Anolis sagrei: one gene and its partner. The main gene of each other region encodes a partner of the protein of the gene in region 2 in a complex. Links are inferred from orthologs where the notes say so. Each region holds a gene or a part of one and is shown on either strand. Other genes may lie near its edges.

Region 1 (3,600 bases), on a different chromosome or scaffold from region 2:
GTTCCTTTTCCCATTCTGTTCCCTGGTTTGTTGTGTGTTTTCTGGGCTGAAGGGCCATGCTTCAGAAGCATTCTCTCCTGACGTTTCACCTGCATCTATGGCAGGCATCCTCAGAGGTTGTGAAAAGTAAGAAGTTGAAGATGTACCATAAGAGCCAGAAGAAGGGAAGCCCTTGACATTCTGAGATATAGGGCTGTGTGGAAGGGCCCTGGGTTGTTGTGTGTTTTCTGGGCTGTATGGTCATGCTTCAGAAGCACTCTTTCCTGACGTTTTGCCTGCATCTATGGCGGGCATCCTCAGAGGTTGTGAAAAGTAAGAAGTCAAAGGAGTACCATAAGAGGCCTTGACATTCTGGGCTGTAGGGCCATGCTCCAGAAGCATTTTCTCCTGACATTTTGCCTGCATCTATGCCGGGCATCCTCAGAGGTTATGAAAAGTAAGAGGTTGAAGGAGTACCATGAGAGCCAGAATAAGGAGAGGCCTTGACATTCTGAGATATAGGGCTGTGTGGAAGGGCCCTGGGTTGGTGTGTGTTTTTCGTGCTGTAGGGCCATGCTTCAGAAGCATTCCCTCCTGAAGCTTTGCCTGCATCTATGCCGGGCATCCTCAGAGGTTGTGAAAAGTAAGAAGTCGAAGGAGTACCATAAAATGCCTTGACATTCTGGGCTGCAGGGCCATGCTCCAGAAGCATTCTCTCCTGACGTTTTGCCTGCATCTATGGTGGGCATCCTCAGAGGCTGTTAAAAGTAAATTGCCGGCGAGAAGTCGAAGGAGTACCATAAGAGTTTGAAAAAGGGGACGAAAATGCCTAGTCTAGGGAAGCCTAGGTGCCTCCCTCCTTCTCAAAACAACAACAACAACAACAACAACAACAAAGAAGAAGTCCTGAAGTTGAGAAGGAAAGGAGGAAGGCGGGAGTCTCTCTCTCTCCCCCCCCCCCCTCCCCGCGTAATGAAAGGTAATTGCTCCATCTGCAGCCCACATCTTGCCTGCCGCTAATTGAATCGCGGTCCTTTTCCTTTCATGTGTGTGTGTGTGTGTGTGTGTTTGCCCTTCCTAATGCCCTGCCTGGGCCACTGGGAGGCCGTGGGCGGCTCTCGCCCCTTGGAGGGAAGGAGAGGCCAGCCCGGGCTCCATAAATACCACTTCTCCGCCCTGAAAGGCATGCAGTGAACACACAGAGAGAGAGAGAGGCAGAGAGAGACCCGCTGAAGAGACCGCCCCATCTATCTATCGCTCTCTCTTTCGACTCAGAGTCCAGCCTCAGAGGAGCCCAGACTTCGCTCTCCAAGGTGCAGCCTTTTCCTCTCTCTTTGCATTCACAGGCGGCGAGGGGAAAAGAAATACTCTCATGCAGGCATATGGGCAAACTTGGGTCCTCCAGGTGTTTTGGACTCCAACTCCCAGAATCCCTAACAGCCTCAGGCCCTTTCCTTTTCCCCCTCAGCCGCTTAAGCGGCTGAGGGGGAAAAGGAAGGGGCCTGAGGCTGTTAGGGATTCTGGGAGTTGGAGTCCAAAACACCTGGAGGACCCAAGTTTGGCCATACACCTGCCTTAATCTCTACCCTCTCCTAAAACCAGCTGGCACTGTGCATTAACTGTATTTTGATCTCCTTTCAGATGCAGAGGTGGAGTAGCCTCCTGTTTATCTCCTTAATCTTTTGCTTTGCCCTCTCGGAGACTTTCGGGCTGGTCTTATCTGTAAGTACTCCTTTCCAAATCTGGTGTTTGCTTCTCTCTCCCCCCCCCCCCCCACCTGAATCAGCACCTAGAATCCTCCACCTTGTGCGACCGTGGAGCAGAACAGACATCTCCGCGCCTGTATGCTTGTCCACAATGTCCTGCCCTATCTGAACATCAGGAAGAACTTCCTGACTGTGAGAGCTGTTCAGCAGTGGAACTCTCTGCCCCTGAGTGTGGTGGAAGCTCCTTAGAATCATAGAATCACAGAGTTGGAAGAGACCTCCTGGGCCATTCAGTCCAACCCCCTGCCAAGAAGAAGGAATATTGCATTCAAAGCACACCTGACAGATGGCCATCCAGCCTCTGTTTAAAAGTTTCCAAAGAAGGAGCCTCCACCACACTCCGGGGCAGAGAGTTCCACTGCTAAATGGCTCTCACAGTCAGGAAGTTCTTCCTAATGTTCAGATGGAATCTCCTTTGGAGGCTTTTAAATACAGGCTGGATGGCCATCTGTCAGGGGTGCTTTGAATGCAATTTTCCTGCTTCTTGGCAGGGGGTTGGACTGGATGACCCATGAGGTCTCTTCCAACTCTAGGATTCTATGTACAGGGGAAGAATTATTGGAGGCTATAGACAATTCGGGTTTTTTTGCCCATTTTTGGTCCAAAGATATTTAGCTGCTTGTGCTCCTTCTATTTTTATCGGTTTTATACTACTTTATGCAATGCTTTTGATATGAAATAAATAAAATAAGGGAGCCCCCGGTGGCTCAGTGGGTTAAACCACTGAGCTGCTAAACTTGTTGACCAAAAGGTCACAGGTTCGAATCTGGGGAGTGGCATGAGCTTCCGCTGTCAGCTCCAGCTTCTGCCAACCTAGCAGTTTAAAAAATTGCAAATGTGAGTAGATCAATAGGTACCGCTCCGGGGGGAAGGTAATGGCACTCCTTGCAGTCATGCCGGCCACATGACTTTGGAGGTGTCTACAGACAATGCCGGCTCTTCGGCTTTGAAATGGAGATGAGCACCAACCCCCAGAGTCGGGCACGACTGGACTTAATGTCAGGGGAAAACCTTTACCTAAATAAAATAAAGCATATAGCACCTGATTTGATAGGATGGGTGTTTGGTTTTATGTTGTTGTGGTGGTTGTTATAATTTTCTTCCATTCTAAGACACAATTTCCTCCTCTATATCTAAAAATCTAAAAATGAGATGCATCTTAGAATTGCAAGTGAAGGTGCTACTGGAATTAGGGTGCGCCTTACAGTCAGTGACATCCTACAATTGAAGAAATACTGTATTATTGGGCTGCGATGAGTTTTCCAGGCTGTATGGCCATGTTCCAGAAGCATTCTCTCCTGACGTTTCATCCACATCTATGGCAGGCATCCTCAAAGGTTGTGAGGTCTGGGTTGCTGTGAGCTTTCTGGGCTGTATGACCATGTTTTGGAAGCATTCTTTCCTGACATTTCAACCACATCTATGGCAGGCATCCTCAGAGGTTGTAATTGAAAGTTGGGGCCAGTCCTGATTTTTAAACACACTTTGTTTTTAGAAATACAGTAATGGGATTTCAATCCAATTGAAATCAAGAGAGTCACTTCTGAATAGCTTAAACAATGTCACTTCTGAATAGCTTAAACCTCACAATCTCTGAGGGTGCCTACCATAGATGCAGCGAAATGTCAGGAGAGAATGCTTCTGGAACATGGCCATACAGCCCGGAAAACTCACAACAACCCAGTGATTCCAGCCATGAAAGCCTTCAACAATATGTTGTGAGGTCTGTTGCAAACTAGGCTCTATCTGTCTATCTATCTATCTATCTATCTATCTATCTATCTATCTGTGGAATGTCCAGGGTGGGAGAAAGAACTCTTGTCTGCTTGAGGCAAATGTCTTGTCTGTTTGAGGC
Region 2 (3,944 bases):
CTACTCCAAGGAGGAGGAGAGAGAATACTGAAGTCGCAGAATATCTTGACTCTTCAAATCCTAGTCCCCTGGAACTGAAGGCAGGAGAAAAGAAAGGCAGTCAGAACCACGGAGGCAGCGAGAGTCTGTTTGAGGAAGATAGGCAGCCAGGCGTTTTTCTCCATTACCAGAGGAAAGTTAGAAAGAAACACAGGACTTTGGTGGCCTCCGAAAGAAAGAAAGAGAAAGGGAGGGAGGGAGGGAGGGGGAGGGAGGGAGGAAGGAAGGAGAGAGAGAGAGGGAAAGAAAGAAGGAAAGAAAGAGGGAAGGAAAAAGAAAAAGAAAAAAAGGGAGAGAGGGAAGGAAGGAAGAAAGAAAGAAAGAGGAAACGAAAAAAAGAAAAGAAACAAAGGGAGGGAGAGAGGGAGGGAAGGAAGAAGGAAGGAAAGAAAGAAAGAAAGAAAGGGAAGGAGGGAAGGAAGGAAGGAAGAGGGAGAGGAGGAAAGAAAGAGTGAAGGAAGAAAGAAAAGAAAGAAAGAGAGGGAGAAAGGGAAAGAAGGAAGAGGGAAGGAAAGAAAGAAAGAAAGAAAGAGAGACTGAGAGGGAGGGAAGCAAGGAAGAAACAGAGTGAAAGAATGAAAGAGAAAGAAAGAAAAAAGAAAGAAGGAGGGAGAGAGGGAAGGAAGGAAGAAGGAGAAAGAGAGAAGGAGAAAGAAAGAGGGAAGGAAGGAAGGAAGAGGAAAGGACGAAAGGAAGAGTGAAAGGAAGGAAAAAGAAAGAGAGGGAGGGGAGAAAGCAAGGAAGGGGAAGGAAGAAAAAAAGAGGAGGAAGGGAAGTCAGGAAGGAAGAGGGAATGAAAGAAGGTAAGAAAGAAAGGGAGAGGAAGGGAGGAAAGGAAGGAAAGAGGGAAGAAAGGAAAGAAACAGAGGGAGGGAAGAGGGAAGGAGGAAAGAAAGAGTGAAGGAAGGAAAAAGAAAGAAAGAGAGAGGGAGGGAAGGAGGGAAAGAAGCAAGGAAAGGGAAGGAAGAAAAAAGAGGAGGAAGGGAAGGAAGAAAGGAAGGAAGAGGGAATGAAAGAAGGTAAGAAAGAAAGGGAGGAGAAGGGAGGAAAGGAAGGAAAGAGGGAATAAAGGAAAGAAACAGAGGGAGGGAAGAGGGAAGGAGGAAAGAAAGAGTGAAGGAAGGAAAAAGAAAGAAAGAAAGAGGGCAGGAAGGAAGGAAGGAAGAGAGAGGGAAGGAAAGAAGGAAGAAAAATAGAGATAAAGAGAAAGAGAGAGAGAGCGCGCGTGAGGACCGGCAGGGGGAGGAGCGTGGGGCTGGGAGGCGTGGGCGAGGCGGGCCGGAGGAGGAAGAAAAGGCAGCGGGAGCTCCGGCCAAGCAGACACTCGGCGGCAGGTCCTCGCCCGACCATTGCTTCCGCCGCCTCTGGCTGCTTTGCTCGACGGGCTAAGAAGCCAACAAGAAGGAGGAGGAAGAGAAGAGGTCTTCTTCTCCAGCCTCGGGAGAGAGACGGGTCTCCCCTTCTCGCTGGACCTGAGTGCGACCCATGGGCGGCATCCAGGGATCCCGAAAAGTCGCCCCAGGCTCAGGCTCCACACCGCACCTCCTCACCTGAAAGAAGTTTGCTAAGGAGGAGGCAACGGGGCTCCTGCCAGACTCGCAAAAGATGAAGTCGGGATAGGACACACCTTGGGTCTTGTGGGGGAACCCTTCCAAGGTCGGGATGGACGCATCTCCTTTAAATCCAGGGGTTTACTCATAAAAACGGGGCTGGAGGGGGAAAGCAAGTTGATACTCAGACTCCGAGGACTCTAGCAGGTGGGTTGGTGGTGGAGAGAAAAGAAGTAGGCTGGTGTCTTTTTTAAGGGCTGGGGGATTTTTGTATTTTAGTTGATTTTAAACTAAAGTTTATTTAGTTCCTCCCTGCTCCCCCTCACAGTTTCTTGGTCCCCACACCACCCAGAGTATGGACCCCGAATCGATCTCTATGAACCGGACCCAGGACTTCTCCTGGCTGGACCCCAACGCCTCCAAGCCATCCTCTGAGCAGCCCTCGAAGCAAGAGGAGGGCAATGGCAGCTTCCTCTCGGAAATTGGCATCGAGAACTTTGTCACGCTGGTTGCCTTTGGCCTCATCTTCATCCTGGGGGTGCTGGGCAACTCCTTGGTCATCACGGTGCTGGCCAGGAGCCATCCGGGCAAAGTCCGGAGCACCACCAACATTTTCATCCTCAACCTGAGCATCGCCGACTTGGCCTACTTGCTCTTCTGCATCCCATTCCAGTCCACAGTGTATTTGCTCCCCAGCTGGGCGCTGGGCACCTTCATCTGTAAGTTTATCCACTATTTCTTCACCGTCTCCATGCTGGTTAGTATCTTCACCCTTTCAGCAATGTCGGTGGACCGCTATGTGGCCATTGTCCACTCGCGGCGCTCCTCATCCCTGCGGGTGTCCCGCAATGCTCTGTTCGGCGTAGGGGTCATCTGGCTACTCTCCATCGCTATGGCTTCACCTGTGGCTCACCACCAACGCATTGTCCACCAGGACATCATTAACCAGACCTTCTGCTGGGAAGTGTGGCCTAATATTCAGCACAAGAAAGTCTACGTGATCTGCACATTTGTCTTTGGGTACCTGTTGCCTCTGCTCCTCATCTCATTCTGTTATGCTAAGGTGAGTACAGTTGAATCCACTCCAAAGGATCCTTCATGAAAGTGCATGAGATCTCTGTGTAGGAAAGGCGCAGCTCCAGGGTGAAATGTGATGTACAGTAAACTAAAACAGGATAAGAGTATCACAGCCATTGGCCATACCCCAGTTACATCCCACTAGTGGCTAATTTTTTTCTCTTGCTTTGCACAGAGGCATATGTGCAGCATAAAGGTTTGAATGGACTTTGATAGAGCATGCAATGAATTTGGAGTGTGTCAGATAGGAGTGAGTAACTTCTGCCTGGTGCAGATATAACCACATCATGTTTTTGTTGTTGTTGTTCATTTGTTCAGTTTTTTCTGACTCTTCATGACCTCATGGACCAGCCCACGCCAGAGCTCTCTGTCAGCCGTCACCACCCCCAGCTCCTTCAAATTAAACATCATGTTTAATGTGAGCTAAAACATGAAGGTTACGTATTGTTGAATGCTTTCATTCTGGAATCATTAGGTTGTTGTGAGTTTCCCAGGCTGTGTGGCCATGTTCCAGAAGCATTCTCTCCTGATGTTTCACCTGCATCTATGGCAGGCATCCTCAGAAGTTGTGAGGTCTGTGGGAAACTGGGAAAATTGGGTTTATATGTCTGTGTAATGTCCAGGGTGGGAGAAAGAACTCTTGTCTGTTCGAGGTAGGTGTGAATGTTTCAATTGGCAACCTTTATTTGCATTTAATTGCCTAGCAGTTCTGGCTTCTTACTGCCTGGGGGAATCCTTTGAAGTTTATGATTGTAAAGATTTTATTGTGTATACCAAAATTTAGATGTGAAAAACATCTCAAGTGTGATAGTTTACATCTCAAGTGTGATAGTTTTGGGATGGGTTTAGCTACAAAATATGAAAAAAGCACACACAGGCATGTTATCTGAATTTGAAAATAAAGTTTGCAATACTCTTAAGAGAACTCTAAAATTGTATCTGTAAACGGCTCAAATTTGACTTGTACCATCTATATTTTTCAAGAGTTCTTTTAAGAGTATTGCAAACTTTATGGTTTATGTATGCAAGATCTAACTCTGACGTTACAAGAGTGTAGTTCTGTTCCATTCACACAGTATATACATCTTCACTGTTTGTGGGTCACTTAAATGATTCATTTCTCACATGTGTCTTCAAGTCCTCTGTTGATTTATGGCAATTGCATGAATTTCGTAGGCATGGCAAGAAATAATCTGAGCTGGATTTGCCAATTCTTTCTTCTGAAATATATCTTACAGCACCTGGTATTCATTGGTAGTCTTTCACCCAAGTACTTAC

Evidence for each region. The genes of interacting proteins can lie anywhere in the genome.
Region 1: the proteins of GALR1 (region 2) and GAL are in contact, whole or in part, in a cryo-EM structure (PDB 7WQ3), measured with the Homo sapiens proteins. The link is inferred for Anolis sagrei from reciprocal best matches to the Homo sapiens genes GALR1 and GAL. Residues at the interface, in NP_001471.2 of Homo sapiens: Glu32, Gln92, Thr94, Val95, Tyr96, Leu98, Pro99, Thr100, His112, Gln174, Phe177, Arg180, Gln184, Phe186, Cys187, Trp188, Glu189, Gln190, Ile266, His267, Ala270, Phe275, Leu277, Ser281, Phe282, Arg285; in NP_057057.2 of Homo sapiens: Gly33, Trp34, Leu36, Asn37, Ser38, Gly40, Tyr41, Leu42, Leu43, Gly44, Pro45, Val48.

Annotation. Positions count from the first base shown.
Region 1 is NC_090021.1:239,137,473-239,141,072, reverse strand, and holds the start of GAL (galanin peptides), read left to right. Parts: upstream 1-1,076; 5' UTR 1,077-1,292; intron 1,293-1,620; coding exon 1,621-1,701; intron 1,702-3,600. UniProt on the Homo sapiens protein: Endocrine hormone of the central and peripheral nervous systems that binds and activates the G protein-coupled receptors GALR1, GALR2, and GALR3.
Region 2 is NC_090024.1:74,603,055-74,606,998, forward strand, and holds the start of GALR1 (galanin receptor type 1), read left to right. Parts: upstream 1-1,330; 5' UTR 1,331-1,944; coding exon 1,945-2,652; intron 2,653-3,944. UniProt on the Homo sapiens protein: Receptor for the hormone galanin. The activity of this receptor is mediated by G proteins that inhibit adenylate cyclase activity.